Linked DNA regions of Elephas maximus indicus. The protein of the gene in region 2 purifies or fractionates together with the protein of the main gene of each other region. This does not show direct contact. Links are inferred from orthologs where the notes say so. Each region holds a gene or a part of one and is shown on either strand. Other genes may lie near its edges.

Evidence for each region. Proteins that work in one complex are often made in the same cells at the same time.
Region 1: the proteins of UBXN7 (region 2) and TOPORS purify together in Homo sapiens (affinity purification with mass spectrometry; 4 studies listed by BioGRID and IntAct, with this or other methods). This does not show direct contact. The link is inferred for Elephas maximus indicus from reciprocal best matches to the Homo sapiens genes UBXN7 and TOPORS.

Annotation. Positions count from the first base shown.
Region 1 is NC_064827.1:41,737,015-41,745,070, forward strand, and holds the start of TOPORS (E3 ubiquitin-protein ligase Topors), read right to left. Parts: upstream 3,312-8,056; 5' UTR 3,267-3,311; coding exon of another isoform or gene 3,224-3,266; coding exon 3,221-3,223; exon of another isoform or gene 3,083-3,220; intron 1,791-3,082; coding exon 1,596-1,790; intron 1-1,595. Other genes in the region: SMIM27 (small integral membrane protein 27), read left to right, coding at 3,222-3,266, 3,583-3,705; NDUFB6 (NADH dehydrogenase [ubiquinone] 1 beta subcomplex subunit 6), read right to left, coding at 4,413-4,481. UniProt on the Homo sapiens protein: Functions as an E3 ubiquitin-protein ligase and as an E3 SUMO1-protein ligase. Probable tumor suppressor involved in cell growth, cell proliferation and apoptosis that regulates p53/TP53 stability through ubiquitin-dependent degradation.
Region 2 is NC_064819.1:17,996,662-18,004,859, reverse strand, and holds the start of UBXN7 (UBX domain-containing protein 7), read left to right. Parts: upstream 1-4,791; 5' UTR 4,792-4,861; coding exon 4,862-4,934; intron 4,935-8,198. UniProt on the Homo sapiens protein: Ubiquitin-binding adapter that links a subset of NEDD8-associated cullin ring ligases (CRLs) to the segregase VCP/p97, to regulate turnover of their ubiquitination substrates.

The DNA.
Region 1 (8,056 bases), on a different chromosome or scaffold from region 2:
AGCTATCTTCCATGGCATTCCTTAAAGTATCACTGTATATAAAATTTAATCACCTGATTATATTTGGGAGAGCGGTGTTAATTCTAATGTAGAGCCAGAGTTGAGAATCACCATGACTTATTAGTTGTGTGACCTGGGGAAAATTCATCTCTCAAAACCTTAAATTTTCTCAATGCTAAAATGGGGTGAATAACAATACCCATCTAAAAAGGTTGTTGTGTTAAGAGATATATTCTATTTGAACACTTAGCACAGTGCTTGGTGCACAGGAAGAATTCAACACTCTCCCCCATGTTATGTGAAAATAACTGAGCTGATTTCAATGACTGGATCAAGATGATAGGCTGTTGACAGCTAAATAATCTTCATACATAATATAATTATTGTACTTAATATATCTAGGCAAAGTAGCTAAAAAGGGTTCACAAGTAGATAAAATAGAAAGGCACCTCCATGTATAAAAAATAATGTGGGCCCTACCTCTTGTCACCTCAAGGAGTCTCTGAACTGCAGTTTAATCACAGATTCCAAAAGATCATACGGAAGTTACAGGGTTTGCTGACCAGATTCTACCACATTTAATGCCAATTCTAGCAATAAAAAGAATTGGTTGGGAACCGTTTTCCCTCTAAAGCCATTCATTCCAGATAAGCATGATTGTTCTAGCTGACTGTAAAGCCTTTACAGTGGTTTAAAGAGAAAAAAAAAAATCTCATCACATACTAGCTCAACTCTTGGGAAGCTGTTTCTTACTTTATATAATCTTGAAAATTACCTACTATGAACTCTATTCATTTTTTCTCTTAACTTTTAAATCACTATCTGCCTCATCTCAGTACTGTCCCCTTCCTGCCCATAAGGAAAGCTGCACTGACTGAAGAAGTCACAGGCAGGCGAGCTCAGCCCAGAATACACACCACTGAACAGACAGCTCCAATATTCAAGGTGATAGCCGCTTCCTTTAGGTGAGAGCTGCGATGGGCCAGGATCTAAGGTAAGCAGCGCATGCATTACATAATCCCACACCCCACTGCTGACTCATAGCGACCCTGCCCCAGAGGGTTTTCAAGAAGTAAACCTTTACGGAAGCAGACTGCCAGCCACATCTTTCTCCCGCGGAGTAGCCGGTGGGATCGCCGACCTCTCGGTTGGCAGCCGAGCGCTTAACCACTGCGCTACCAGGGATTCTGGACATAATCACAACGAACTAAAATAGTTATTCCCATTTTACAGACAGGCTCGGAGAGGTTAAGGGACCTGGCCAAGGTCACACCCGTCAGTGGCGATGCCAAGATTCAGACTCCAGCGGTTATTTTTCTAGAGACCAGGCTCTTTCCAGTACACAGCTAGGCTCGCGCCCCTCGCCCCTTGGGAGCCTTCGAAACGCAGCCTTCACCCTCCCACCGGCGCAAATCCACAGGTGCGCCGCAGAGTCGCCAGTCCGCCCGCCCGCCCGGACCCCTGCCCGGTTGAGGCCCGGGCGGCCCCGCAGGCCAAGACCACGGCCCCAAGTCCTTGGGCCTCGCTCCCGGAGGGACCTCCGGTTCGCCCAGCCCTTCCGACCCCCGTGCCCCATTGTTTCCGATCCCACTCACCCCAGAGGATGCCTGCGCAGACCCGGCCGGGGCGCTCGTGGCTAGCTCCCTACGGCTCAGAAAGCTGGGTCGGTGACGGCAGGACCCGCGAAGGCGTACCCGGCGACTTCTCCGCCTACTCTCAGGAGCCGGAGCGGGCGGGGGCGCTTCACCCTCCTCGCGAGACAGCGGAGACCCTGGCGGCTGCTGCGACCCCTGTGACGTAAAGCGCTCATCACCAATGGCAGCTTGGAGGCGGTGTCAGAAAGCGAGACCCCACCCCTCCAGCGCGTCAAAACACTATACCAGCCTTTTTAACGCATGCGCGTTAGAAAGCCGCCAGCACTGAGGGCGGCACTTAATGCGCTCCGGCCCGAGACTGGGCCCTTCCCCCACCACTCCGTTCCGGGAGTGAGAGCAATCTGACCATCCCGGGCAGAAATCACTATCATGATCATTCCTATTATTAATCGTAGGGATTACAGGGTACTAACTTAATGTTCGCTCCTAAATTATCGGAAAACAAAATAACTAGACAAAACCTTAGCTTGGTCTCATTTAAATATCAAGAAACTTGGGAGAAGTTACAAAAACTATCTCCATTGTATATAGGTACACAGTGTTACCCGAAAGTGACTTGACCATCGGTTGCACAGCTAGGAAATAACATCGGGATTCGAATGGGATCCAAAGCCAGACTCCAATCAGTATCTTATATAGTCTCGAGAGAGATCTACTCCAGCTTGAGGAGAAACAGTCAAGGCCTAACACAGAATAGGCTCTGAATTCTCTCCAAAACAGATAGGTTTTTCTCTCAAAGAACTTCTTTCCCCCTACCCTCTCCCCAAAATTTGGATTAAAGTCTAAGTTAATATCCGAGATTTATGAATAAAGAACGTCAGCCTAGAACGGCCCATGGCCAGACTACACCACTCAGGCCTCAACGTGAGCGTCCCATTTTACAGGTAAACTTAGCACAACCGGCCGTAACGCTCAACACTTGTTGATTCACTGGTGCATTATGCCGGATAGTTCTTGCCACGTATTTCTTCTTACGAGTATCATTTACATTAAAAACCTATTGCGTTCTCAGAGACTATACGTTTCTTAAAGGGCCCAATTAACAGTGATTCCCGCCTAACTGATGACTGTTACATAAAATAGTACACAGTATTCTCGTATGCGTCGCAGCTGAATATACAAACGTTTATATTATGTAAAAACAGATGCGGGAAAAACGTTTTCTTCCAGCGTTAGATACCGGTGCAATATTTAAAAGGCAGATATTTTTCAAATAAACGTTTAAGTGCACACGACAGTACATTATCCTACATTAGCACTGCATCCCAACTGGAAAGAAAACCGGCTGGCGAAAAACACCTCTTTAAGCGGCAATTTTTTAATCTATTTTCTCATTTATTCCATCCCTTCCCTGCCAGGCGGGCTAGGCCCCCTTCACCTGACTCCGCCTCCGGCTCAGGGCGGAAGAGGCAGGCCTGGCCAATGGGAAAAGCTCCCGGGGGCTAGTGGGAGGGCGTTCGTACCCGGCTGAAAGATGGCCGCTGCCGCCCAGTAGCCACCGCCCCGCAGGTTAGTCTAGGCCCACATCTTCCGCCGGTTCCCGCGGACCGCCGCCGCCTCCTTACCATGAAGCCAGTGAATCGCCGCACCCTGGACTGGATTTATTCAATGGTAGGTCCCGGGTCTGGCGGGGCTCCACGGTGTCGACTCCTTGGGCCCACAGGCGGGAGGTTCTCTATTTCTTCAACATCCGCAAACTCCAAAATCCATTACTGAATTAAGCACTCCCCCCCTCCACCTCGACTCCGCCTCTTCCTGGAGGACACGATCTTCCGCTTCTTACGTAAGGGCCGCTGGGTGTACTTGTCTCCGGAATCCCATTTATTATTTTATCACTATAATTCCCATTTCTGCAGTGGTACACGGTAACTTCAAAGGAGTAATTTTTTTTTTTTTTGCTTTTTCTCCCTCTGACATTTTTTTTTAGTTGCTCGTTGCGATCGTATTACTCTCCTGGGGATATGTCATTTATGCATCAACAGTAGCTGCACGACGACAGCTAACGAAGGAATACCCAGACAGAATCTTCGAGATGAATGAAAATTTGTAATTCCTTTGGATTTAATTCTCTGCAAATACAATTCTTTACCTCATCCTTATCTGATACCTGTTTAGATTAAAAAATAAAATCCATAATGTAAAATTTTGAACTTTATTTTTGGATCGCCTTTTATAATAACCACTAATAGACACTAATTTTTCAAAAGCTTGGAGAGATTTTAGTCTTACAGTCTCATATGATAAAACTCAGATCAGTAACCTAGATCTGACAGCCTTTGAGTATCAGATCATTGATGGAACCCATGCATTTCAATCTAGAGTTTCTAAAATACTTCCTTTAAAATAGCTCAGAAAGATTTCTTTAAAACAGAAGTGGGCGGGATTTTTTTCTTGTATTTGTTATACTGCAGTATCTAATTCTGGTGCATTCCCTCAGACCAAACTAGAGTTACTGTATAAGAAAAATTCTATCATGTGACTAAATACTTTTCTACATCCTGTTTTCCAATTCAGGAATGACCAGAACAACTGGAGCAGTCACTCATATCATTTGTTTTGCATGTTCAATTTTTACAATTTTTAAATGATTTAAAGGGTCTCAAACTGTACAATGTTTTGGTAGAGATATGACAACACATTTCTGGGAGTAAACTTGTAAGTTTACTTTATTAAAGTTACTTTTCCAGAAAATATTACTCAGTAAATATGGTATTATAGGACTTGGGCTCATAAATCTTTGAAATGTTTAAGTAATCTTCAATGATGTTGATCAGGAAAGTCTTTCATTGGTGGAATTACTTCTCCAGTCTCCAGAATTGTATCACCCTAGGAAAACAAAGATGTGTTAGTAGAAAAATCTTGTGGGGGTGATAGTTCCACTTTGTTCTATGTGTTGGTCATTCCTCACATGGAAAATCTAGTTCAGCTCTGACATTCACACTTAAGAGGGACTTAAAAGTGTAAGCTGTTTAAAGATGAACAAGTACTCAAAATCTTAAGGTACAAATTAAAGGGGAAGCTTCATTCAGAAACAACCAGAGGGGGCATGAAAGTTTTCACCAAGTGAAAAACAGATAATCCTTACTTTGAACAGCCCCAAGAAATAAGAGAATCCCTAAAAACAAGGTGCAGGAAAACATCTTCGGTTCAATATAAGGACGTAATCAATGTATTCTCAATAATTGATATTAAGCAATTGCCAGTTTAATGCTTGGCTTAGATATTAGAGATACAATGTAGACATTGGCTGGGCAGCTGGTCCAGGTGTCTTCAAACCTGGATACAGTGTGTGTGGAAGAAAGGGCGTGGGCTTTGGATACAGAACCATGTGGTGAGAATCATGGCCGTTTCATGGACAAGCTGTAAAATTTTAGGCAAATTATTTAGCTTCTCTGAGCTTCAGTCATCATCTGTATAATGGGGATAACAATCCCTATCTCATAAAGCATTGATTCAGTACTTCGCATATTGTGAACAATCAACAAATAATAACTATTAATATACTTTTTATTTTTTTTTATACTTGTATATCTTCTGACCATGAAATTGATTCTAAATATTTTATATCAGCATGCTCTAGTTGTACAAAAGATAAGACAAATCACAAAGTGTTGAAACTAAGCTAGTCATATAAATTTGATAATGCTGAGAGAGGCAAAAAAGAGAGGGAAACAAAACACTTGACCCATAGATGTACCAAGTGCTTTTAGCAACCTGGGCCATTTTACTCCACACTGATAGAGATTTGCATTTCGAAGGATGAGAAGAGTTTTCCAAAAGGAAACAGGGATTTTTTCTATATACTTGAATTTCTACCACACTTAGTCATTCCATCTGAAATTAAAGAGAACTCAATAAAAATTCAAGAACTCAATAAAAACTCTAGAATTGTGAATTTTGATTTTTAATCATTTACATCAGCCTAAGACCAGAAGAACTAGATGGCGCCCGGCTACAACTGATGACTGCCTTGACAGGGAACAGAACAGAGAACCCCTGAGGGAGCAGGAGAGCAGTGGGATGCAAACCCCAAATTCTTATAAAAAGACCAGACTTAATGGTCTGACTGAGACTACAGAGGTCATGGTCCGCAGACCTGTTAGCCCAAGGCAGGAACCATTCCCAAAGCCAACTCCTCAGCCAGGGATTGGACTGGACTATGGGATAGAAAATGATACTGGTGAAGAGTGAGCTTCTTGGATCAAGTAGATACATGAGACTATGTGGGCAGCTCCTGTTTGGAAAAAAAGATGAGAGGATAGAGGGAGTCATAAGTTGGCCAAATGGACACGAAAACTGAGTGAAGGGAAGGGGTGTGCTCTCTCATCAGAGAGTGAGCAACTAGGAATATATAGCAAGGTGTATATAAGTTTTTGTATGTATGAGAGACTGACTTGGTTTGTAAACTTTCACTTAAAGCACAATAAAAATAAAACAGGATGTGTCAAAAAGATGGTGGAATGTAGCATGTTTGAAGGGAACAGTTAAGGGACCATTTTTACTGGAATAAAGTATTTACATAAAGGAAGAGATAACGGTAGAATGAAAGGCTTGAATAAGTTTAAAAAAAAAAAAAACCATTGCCATAGAGTCAGTTCCGACTCATACTGACCCTACAGCATAGAGCAGAACTGCCCCATACGGTTCCCAAGGCTGTAATCTTTACGTAAGCAGACGGCCACATCTTTCTCCTGTGGAGCGGCTGGTGGGTTCAAACCACGAGCCTTTTGGTTAGCAGCTAAGTGCTTAACCACTGCGCTACCTGGGCTCCTTTCTGAACAAACTAGAGAGCCTTAAATGGAATGTGAACACATTTATCCCAAAGGAAGTGAAAAGCCATCAAGGTTTTTTTTTTTTAAAGAGGGTTATGGAAGAGATTTTAGGTTGCTCACCAAAATCCATATTTTTCTCTTTTTCTGCAGTTTTAATCTTCCTATTGAGGTTAAGCGTAGCAGTGTGAATGAGTTCAACCCAATGGAATGTGAGTAGAAGTGTATTGGAGTCTGGAGACTTTGGAAGCCCTGTGTTTAAGATAGCTGATTCTGTCAGCCTGGATCCCTGAATGAATTATTTCTCCCCCAATTCCCCATTCCCTGACCTGGAAATGTTCAGGACTGTTGCCTAATGAAGAAATAAACTTTTATTATGTTTAAGCCATTACACATTTTGGGGACATGTTGCTACTACACCTAGCATTACCCTAATGCAGAAGTTAGTACCTTGATGTGGTACAAATGATGCCATAATAAAAATCAAACTACACTGCACTAGCTTAGCAGTCTAGCAGCAAGGGCAATGGCACTGAGAGCTAAAAAATGGAAACAAAGAGTTAGCGGCAAAGTATTTGGCAAAATGTCTCCTATAATAACGGAAGCAGACTGCTCTAGAAGTAGCTTAAAAAAAGTTATGGTATGTGTTTGGCTACTACTGGCTGCCTTGGCAATGCACTTTAGGAAAGATGACCTCAATCAAGAAGTGGCTGATTTAAGAGCAGAAATAAAAATGGAGAGAATCCAAAAATTCAAGACCTTGCAGTACTGAAAAATCTGACTGCTTCTGAATCCCTAAACAGTAAGAGTTAACACTAAAAATATCCTGAGTAACAGAAAAAAAAAAAAAAAATCAGTAAACAGAGGGACTCAGCCCTATGGAAAAGAGCAGATTAAAGGGAATGTAGCCTTTGAAGCAGTCTGTTTCAGATGGCCTCCACATAGCTGCCACTAAGTTAACAGAGATACCTGTAAGGGTAAAGCAGCAAAGAAATCAGAGAACTTGATGATAATGATGTGTAGAAAGAACAAATACTAGCATATGGAACTGGCTAGAAGCAAACAGATTAGATGCTTACCAAGTATTTTTCTTTCTACGCTTACCAAATGTTTGAGGGAATTAGATGGTTAAAGAAAACAAATACACAAAACTATAAAAGTCTGTGAATGTTTTAGCTTAAAATGACCTCTGGCAATCAACCTTCTATAAGCAGAAGGCAGGCTTTGAAGGCTGTGCAACTCCCCCAAGGAAGGCATGCTTCCTAGTGCCCATTTTAGATCTAGTCTAGGTTGATAATGGAAAAGAACCTTGTTCCTTGCAACAGTGTTCACAATAGCAAAAAGATGGAAACAACCTAAATGCCCACCAACGGATGAATGAGTAAACAAACTGGTACACACGATGGAATACTACACAACAGTAAAGAATAATGACAAACCTGCAAAACATCTCACAATGTGACCGAATCTAGAGGACATCATGCTGAGTGAAATAAGTCAATCACAAATGGACAAATATTATATGAGACCACTATTGTAAACAGTCAAGAAAAGGTTTACACACAGAAAGAAATATATATATCTTTTTACTCTTTTTTTTAATTGAACTTTAGATGAAGGTTTACAGAACAA
Region 2 (8,198 bases):
AGTCCAGGAGAACCAAAGTATGACCTTGAGAATAACCTACCTGAATTTAAAAACTATCTCAAGAATATATTTGACATGTTGAATACTAATGACCAAAGACCAGATGAGTTGTGGAATGACATCAGGGACATCATCCACGAAGAAAGCAAGAGGTCATTAAAAAGACAGGAAAGAAAGAAAGACCAAAATGCATGTCAGAAGAGACTCTGAAATTTGCTCTTGAATGTCGAGCAGCTAAAGCAAAAGGAAGAAAAGATGAAGTAAAAGAACCTGAACAAGAGATTCCAAAGGGCAGCCCGAGAAGACAAAGTATTATAATGACATGTGCAAAGAGCAGGAGATAGAAAACCAAAAGAGAAGAACATGCTCAGATTTCTCAAGCTGAAAGAACTGAAGAAAAAATTCAAGCCTCAAGTTGCAATAGTGAAGGATTCTATGGGGAAAATATTGAATGATGCAGGAAGCATCAAAAGAAGATGAAAGGAATACACAGAGTCATTATACCAAAAAGAATTGGTCGATGTCCAACCATTTCAAAAGGTAGTATATGATCAGGAACCAATGGTACTGATGGAAGAAGTCCAAGCTGCACTGAAGGCACTGGCAAAAAATAAGGCTCCAGGAATTGATGGAATATCAATTGAGATGTTTCAACAAATGGATGCGGCACTGGAAGCACTCACTCATCTATACTAAGAAATTTGGAAGACAGCTACCTGGCCAACTGACTGGAAGAGATCCATATCTATGTCTATTCCCAAGAAGGTGATCGATCCGAATGCAGAAATTATCCAACATCACTAATATTACATGCAAGCAAAATTTTGCTGAAGATCATTCAAAAGTGGCTGCAGCAGTATATTGACAGGGAACTGCCAGCAATTCCGGCAAGATTCAGAAGAGGACGTGGAACCAGGGATATCATTCCTGATGTCAGATGGATCCTGGCTGAAGGCAGAGAATACCAGAAGGATGTTTACCTGTGTTTTATTGACTATGCAAAAGCATTTGACTGTGTGGATCATAATGAATTATAGATAACATTGCAAAGAATGGGAATTCCAGGGCACTTAATTGTGCTCATGAGGATCCTGTACCTAGATCAAGAGGCAGTTGTTTGGATAGAACAAGGGGATACTTTGTGGTAAAGTCAGGAAAGGTGTGCGTTAGGATTGTATCCTTTCACCACACCTATTCAATCTGAATGTTAAGCATATAATCCGAGAAGCTGGACTATATGAAGAATGGGGCAACACAACAGGAGGAAGACTTATTAACAACCTTTGATATGCAGATGACACAACCTTTCTTGCTGAAAGTGAAGAGGACTTGAAGCACTTCTTGAAGATGATCAAAGATCACAGCCTTCAGTATGGATTACACCTCAACATAAAGAAAACAAACATCCTCACAACTGGACCAATAAGCAACATCATGATAAATGGAGAAAAGAATGAAGTTGTCAAGGATTTCATTTCACTCGGATCCACAATCCACAGCCATGGAAGCAGCAGTGAAGAAATCAAGAGACACGTTGCATTGGGCACGTCTGCTGCAAAAGACATCTTTAAAGTGTTGAAAAGCAAAGATGTTACCTTGAAGACTAAGTTGTGCCTGACTCAAGCCATGGTATTTTCAATCGCATCACATGCATGCGAAAGCTGGATGATGAATAAGGAAAACTGAAGAAGAATTGATGCCTTTGAATTGTGGTGCTGGAAAAGAATACTGAATATATCATGGACTGCCAGAAGAAGGAACAAATCTGTCTTGTAAGAAGCACAACGAGAATGCTCCTTAGAAGCAGGGATGGTGAGACTGTGTCTTATACACTTTGGACATGTAGTCAGGAGGCATCAGTCCCTGGAAAAGGACATTATGCTTGGTAAAGTACAAGGTCAGCCGAAAACATGGATTGACACAGTGGCTGTAACAATGGGCTCAAGCAGAACAACCATTGTGAGCATAGTGCAGGACCAGGCAGTGTTTCGTTCTGTGGTACATAGGGTCACTATGAGTTGGAATCGACTCGATGGCACCTAACAACAAGTTTCCCGTTTTAAATCTTTTAGTTTTGTTTTATCCTTCATTATTGTATCCCTTCACTTAAGGTTCAGGGTTCCAGGATTGACCGTCTCAATCCGTTTTGCTTTTTCAGGTCTTTATTGCAGCTGGATGGCTTAGTGTATCTGACTGGTCCGCCATCTTGGTTCTGCCTTCTTCATCTTTACTCTTGAGGAATCATTTACTGTGAACAGAATTCTAGTTCCATCCTTATTTTTTTCTCAGCAGTTTAAGTATAATATCCCATTATTTTTTGCTCTTCTCTTCAGAATTTTGTATCAAACTAATTGCTATTCTTTTGTAAGATATTTTCTATCATCTATTGCCAGTTGCCCTGGGGTTATTATCAGCCTTGGATCACTTTCTACTAATTTTTCAACTTGGGTAGTTCCTGGCCCCTGCAGGAATTAAAATTTGAATTCCAAACCATCTCAGGACAGGCCTGTGGTTAGGAATTCTTAGAGTTGATACTTTTAGCTACAGCTCACCTGCAGGAATCCAGAGGCAGAGAGACAAGCTTATTGTACCTTCCCAGTGCTGAGGGTGTATTTTTTCTTGTCTGAACTTTTATGTTATTATTGAGCAAGTAGTTCTTCAAAGGTTTCAGCTTTAAGGGGAGGGGGAGTTTCAGTTTAACTAGCCCACTTCGTGAAGGCACAAGGCCTCAAGTCTTGCTGCCGAGTGACCTTTAAACCCATTCAATCAGACATACAACCTCCCCCTCTTTCTGCTCTCTAGCCCCAACATTATCTCAAACTTATTGCACAATGATTTTGTTCCCTCTTCATTTTTGGCCACTGGAGATTTCCTGTATTTTTCTGAGATCTAAGCTACCCACTTAAACAAATGCTTGTTATGATTTGGGTGGCATTTCTAGGTGTTTTGCTCTCAGGTCTGTGTGGCCTGTCAGAATGCCCCACATCCTTTCTTTGCTCAAGAGTATTCTTGATTAGGAATCTACCTTCTTTTATACCAATCCTGTCTTTCTGAAACTACAATCCTATAATTAACCTTGATTTGACATGGTTCTTTCTCAGTTCTCCCCAAGCATACATTTACATACTGTTTCTTAGAATTCTCCAGATGACTCATTCTATCTTTTATTGAGCCATTTTCTTGTGAAGATGCAAGATATTTGGATGGGGGAGGGGAAAGGCTAGAACCTAAACTGAGGCTCTTTAACCTTATTCTCTAGGTGGGATGTCATTACATCCGAGTGCACCTCACTCATATAATTCTATTTAAAAACATTTAGAAGTATACAAGTAACATACAAATATTCTTTTTTGTTTAAAAATAAAAGATACAAAATAAACTCAAAGTCCCTTTTCAACACTGTCCCTCTCGCTCCCCTTTCTAGAGGTAACTATTATCAGTGTTTTCAGGACATCTTTGCAGTGCCATTTCTATACATTTTCTTTTCTCTCAGCTGTATATACACCTATACATTTTCTTTTTACAGAAACGATACCCCCTTATTTTACAGATGAGGAAACTAAGTGGGACCCTGAGGGGAAAAATGTGTAGACAAATTTATTGAAGGAAAGCCAACGGAAAAATCATTTATTAATACCCTACTATGAACTGGTCTCTACTTCTTTGGAACAAAATACAATGAAGGAAACCAAGGACTCAAAGAAGCAACTAGCCCACATGAACCATGGTCTCATCTAGCCTGAGACCAGAACTACATGGTGCTTGGCTACCACAACCATTATTACCAGGGACACAATAGAAGATCCCAGGTGGGTTGGCAGAAAAATGTGGAACAAAACTCAAATTTCTAAAAAAAAAACACCAGACTTGCTGGACCAAGAAAGACTAGAGAAACCTCTGAGACTATCTCCCTAAGATATGCTTTGAACTTGGAACTGAAGCTACTTCCACATAAAAGATAGGCTTATAAAATAAACAATATCACCTGTGAGTACTGTGATCCCTTAAATAATCAACTACCTGAGATCAAACGGTCAACATTTACCCTAAAGCAAGGATGAGAAGATAAGGAGGGGCAGGGAAGCTAGATTTAGTGGAAACAGAACAAACAGAATGGAAATGACGAGAATAGTGACACATTGTGTAACCAATGTCAGGAAACAATCTGTATAAAAATTGTTAAATGGGAACCTACTTTGCTGTAAACTTTCACCTAAAACACAATAAAATATTATTTTTTAAAAACCCCTACTACGTGTCAAATCCTGCACCATGCTATCTTGGCATGAAAGGTTCTGGTATTTTGCTGGATAGGGTCGCTGCACTAGGTTAGGGAAAGCAATTAGTTTAGACGTTGGAGAACCTGTACGAGTGGCTTCAGTGTTGATGATATAGGATTTGGATTTTGGTGGGAGCTTCAGCAAACCTAGCAGAGGGGTTGTGGAGCTGCAAAAAAGAAAAAAAACAACAACAAAAAACCCTGTCACCGGTAGTTGGGTCTGTCACTAAAGCTTGTCAAGTTGAATCGCGAGGAACCTGCTACCTGGCGAGTCCGAATCTTCCTCTGGAAAGCAGGAGCTCATACCGTGTCTACCAGGCTGGCCTTGGAGTTTGGAGAGGGAGGCACCAGAGGCTGCAAGAAGGATGCGGCGAGCAGACAGCAACCGAGCAGCCAATCCGGAGAGCAGAGAGAGCGCTCCCGGACCGGTCGGGAAGTGCGCCTGCGCTCACCGCTCAGCGGGCCGGGAGGGGCGGAGCATGGGGATGGTCAATGAGCCTGCGCAAACGGCGCTGCGAGGTGGGGGAGGGCGGTCCGTGTGTGTCTGTGTTGTTGTTCGGCGGCAGCGGCGGCGGCGGTAAGATGGCTGCCCACGGGGGCTCCGCCGCGTCCTCGGCGCTGAAGGGGTTAATTCAGCAGTTCACCGCCATCACCGGTAAGAGACGCGGTTACCGGAAGGTGCAGAGCGGGGTCCGGGGCGGGCGGCGGGTCTGCCCCGGGCTTTCTTCTGCCTTCATGCATTCCTCCCTCGGGCTTTACTCAAAGCTCCCGTCCTCCCTCCTGAGGAAGAGGCGACGACGGCGTCGGGGTCTCCGGGTTCAGGCGGGAGGCGGCCCCCCCGCTGCCCACATTCTCGCTCGTGGTCTCCTCGCAGTGTGGAGGGGGACCCTTCACCCCTGCCAGCCCGGTCCCGGCGAGTGGGCCGAGCCCATCCGTCCCCGCCGGCCCGGGGGCCTGGGGGCGGAAGGAGTGGGGGGCCGCACCCGGGCCACCGCCCTCCTCCTCCTCCATCATCTTCCTCTCTTCTCTGGCCAGCTCGGGGGCGGAGTGCGTCCCCTCAGCTCCTCTTTCCCGGCTCCCCGGCCGGGTCATTCTCCCCCGTCCCTGGCCTGCCCTTCCCCTGGCTGGGCCCCTCGGAGCCATCGCTGTGGCCCTGGCTGGTTCGGGCCCTCCCGCCTTCACGGCGAGGCTAGTGGCTTCGGCAGCGCCTTCACGGATCCGGGGAGATCGGCCGCCAGGAAGGGGGCGGCTGAGAAGCACCTTAGGAACTGGGGTTTTAAGAGTAAAATGAGGGGATCCCCTCCACAAGCTTAATTGTGAAGGCCTGGAGGAATCCTGGCTGGCGTTTCCCACCTCCCTATAATAAAACCCCAAAGACCGAGGCGATGGCGCCGGGGCCTCCCGCTGCTCACATAGGGATGGCGGCAGAAACTTCGCCGAGAGGAAATCTCTCTCTGGCTGTCGGTATCCCTCAGACCCTAGGCCTGGGTTTTTCTTTTTTTGGACCCCTGCGAAGGGCACACGCAGATCCTCTCACCGCCTGGGGGAAAGGCCCTAAGCCATTCTCTGTATTCCCTGGGTCTTGGTTTCTCTCTGATGGTGCTGAACTTTTTTTGCATGAGTTATTAGAGGGCGGAGCAAATGATGAAGTTCTCTGTGGAGTGATTTGAGAGGAGAGTACTCCATGTGCCGGGGTGTAATTTTGCAGCTCTAGTTTGTCATTTTGGAAAGAGGTCAGAATGTTAGTTCTCTCGCCTAGCAGATCCTCTCTCTGATGCTTTGTTAAATGCGGACGATCCTTTCACTGTTAATGTTTCTCAGAGTTTGTCGTGCAAGATCTGGCTAAGGAAAATTTTACATTGTTTTACCCAATACAGGTTGTATGCTAGTTATCGTTGGATAATTAAAGCTCCTTTTATTTTTTTTTTTAACTCTGCAACGGTAACTAGATGTTTGATGCATTGTTATCTAGCTCCTGCGCATGCAGCAGTGGGTCAAAGTTGGTAAAGTAAAATTTGTAATAAAATCGGAGTGGGGAATGGAGTGATAATTTTCATATTCATAATTTAAAATATACTAAAGGTGTAATGCCATTACCTCCCGAAGCCACTTTTGTGGGGAAAATTATGTGTATAAGTTAACATGTACTGCATTATGTTTATATAGGAAAATCTTTGTAGTGAATCGGTTATAGAGTATCATTAATAATCCTTTTTTTAGGTTTATTAGAGGTAGTTTAATATGACACTTATTTAATTTCAGTTTTTTCTGCAGAGAAACTGAAATTAAATAAATGGACTCAGGAACACTTATTGCTTTAACTTCACATTATCTCTTGTAATGAACATTTTTGTTAGATATAGACAAAATCTGAAGTGTGATGAGGTGAACTGACTCACTGAACTGCCTTTATTCTGTCTCTGTTTGCTAGTCTATACTGCCTGTTTCCTGGTCACAGGCGTTTCTATTTCTGAATCAGGTTGGATTCTCTCAGTAGACAATGGTATCTAGAATTCTGCAAAAGCAGAAATACCTTAGATTGTTCCTAATCTATTGTGAATTGTTATTAATAATTTTTTTAGATTCTTTCAACGAGGTTATGATTACCATTAGAAACACCTGATTGATCCCTCCACCCCTTTTCATGTATCTAAAAAATAAATTTGGGGGTTATCTTCACATATATTGTAAACAGTAGTGTTTATGATAAGAAGGTAGTTGTTTTTTATGCATTGCTGGGTGAATTAGGCTGACCTTAAAAAAAATTTTTTTTTTTTAAGAGCTTATGCTCTGATTTTGAAAAGGTTTACTTACCTAGAAGCTCAACATTCTGATACAAGCAACTAATTCAATGGCATTTAGAAATAGAAAATTGAAAGATTTCTTAGTAAATCTTATTTCTTACTAAATAAAACAAATTTCTCTATAGTACGTGTGTATGAAGGAATGAATCTGATTTTTAAAATTTTTTAATTATTAAAAAGATGACAAACATGAAATAGTTTGGAAAAAGGGAAAAAAACTAATTTTCCACTCTTACATCAATATTATTTATTTTATTATGGTCTCTTCCAATTCTCGTTTACATACTTATTTTTTGCATTATAGATTGTACTGTACATAATTTAGAATTCTAAATTTTTCACTTAACGTTACACCGTACGCATTTTTCTATGATTGCGCTCTCTGACAAGCAGGTAGCCAAGGAAGTGATGTTCTTTGAAGTAATCATGTTAAGACGCTGTGTACCACCACCACTGATGCCTTCAGAGCTGTTTAAAGCTACATAAAATAAGTTCTTTTTAGTCATACCCCATTTTACAATATTACTTGGTTTGATAGCCCTTGATATTCATCACACATGACTTTGAATGACTGTTGGCTACTTTTAGAAGTCTTATCAGTTCTCAAAACATGAAAGAATATGCTGCTGAATCTGAAAGGAATTTCAAAAGAACAATTTAAAAAAATATTTTGAATCATGATAGTATCCCATTAACACTAACTTGGGCTGACATCCAGCCACACGTATACAAAATGTACAAATACAATCAGAATAGTTCATGAGGTGAAGGGTCTGGAGACCATTATAGAATAGGTAAAAAATAAACAGGCAAATCAGAAGGTAAGGACAAAATGTGGAGGCTTAGAAGAGTACAACAGGTTGATATTATAGAATTCCTTAATGCTTTGTGCATAGTAGGCATAAGCATATTTCACGAAATTATAGCACCTCCGTTGTAGAAAATACCTAAGCTTTATCTTTTTTTCTAAAATTGTTGAATGGATGCATATTATAAAAATTAGAAACTGGTGCATGTATTTATTTGGCTTTGTGGTAAATTTCTATTCATATTTTATATGTTTCTGGTTAGTATTAAAATGTGTTTTTAAGTTCTGTGTCAGAAAAAGTGGTTTC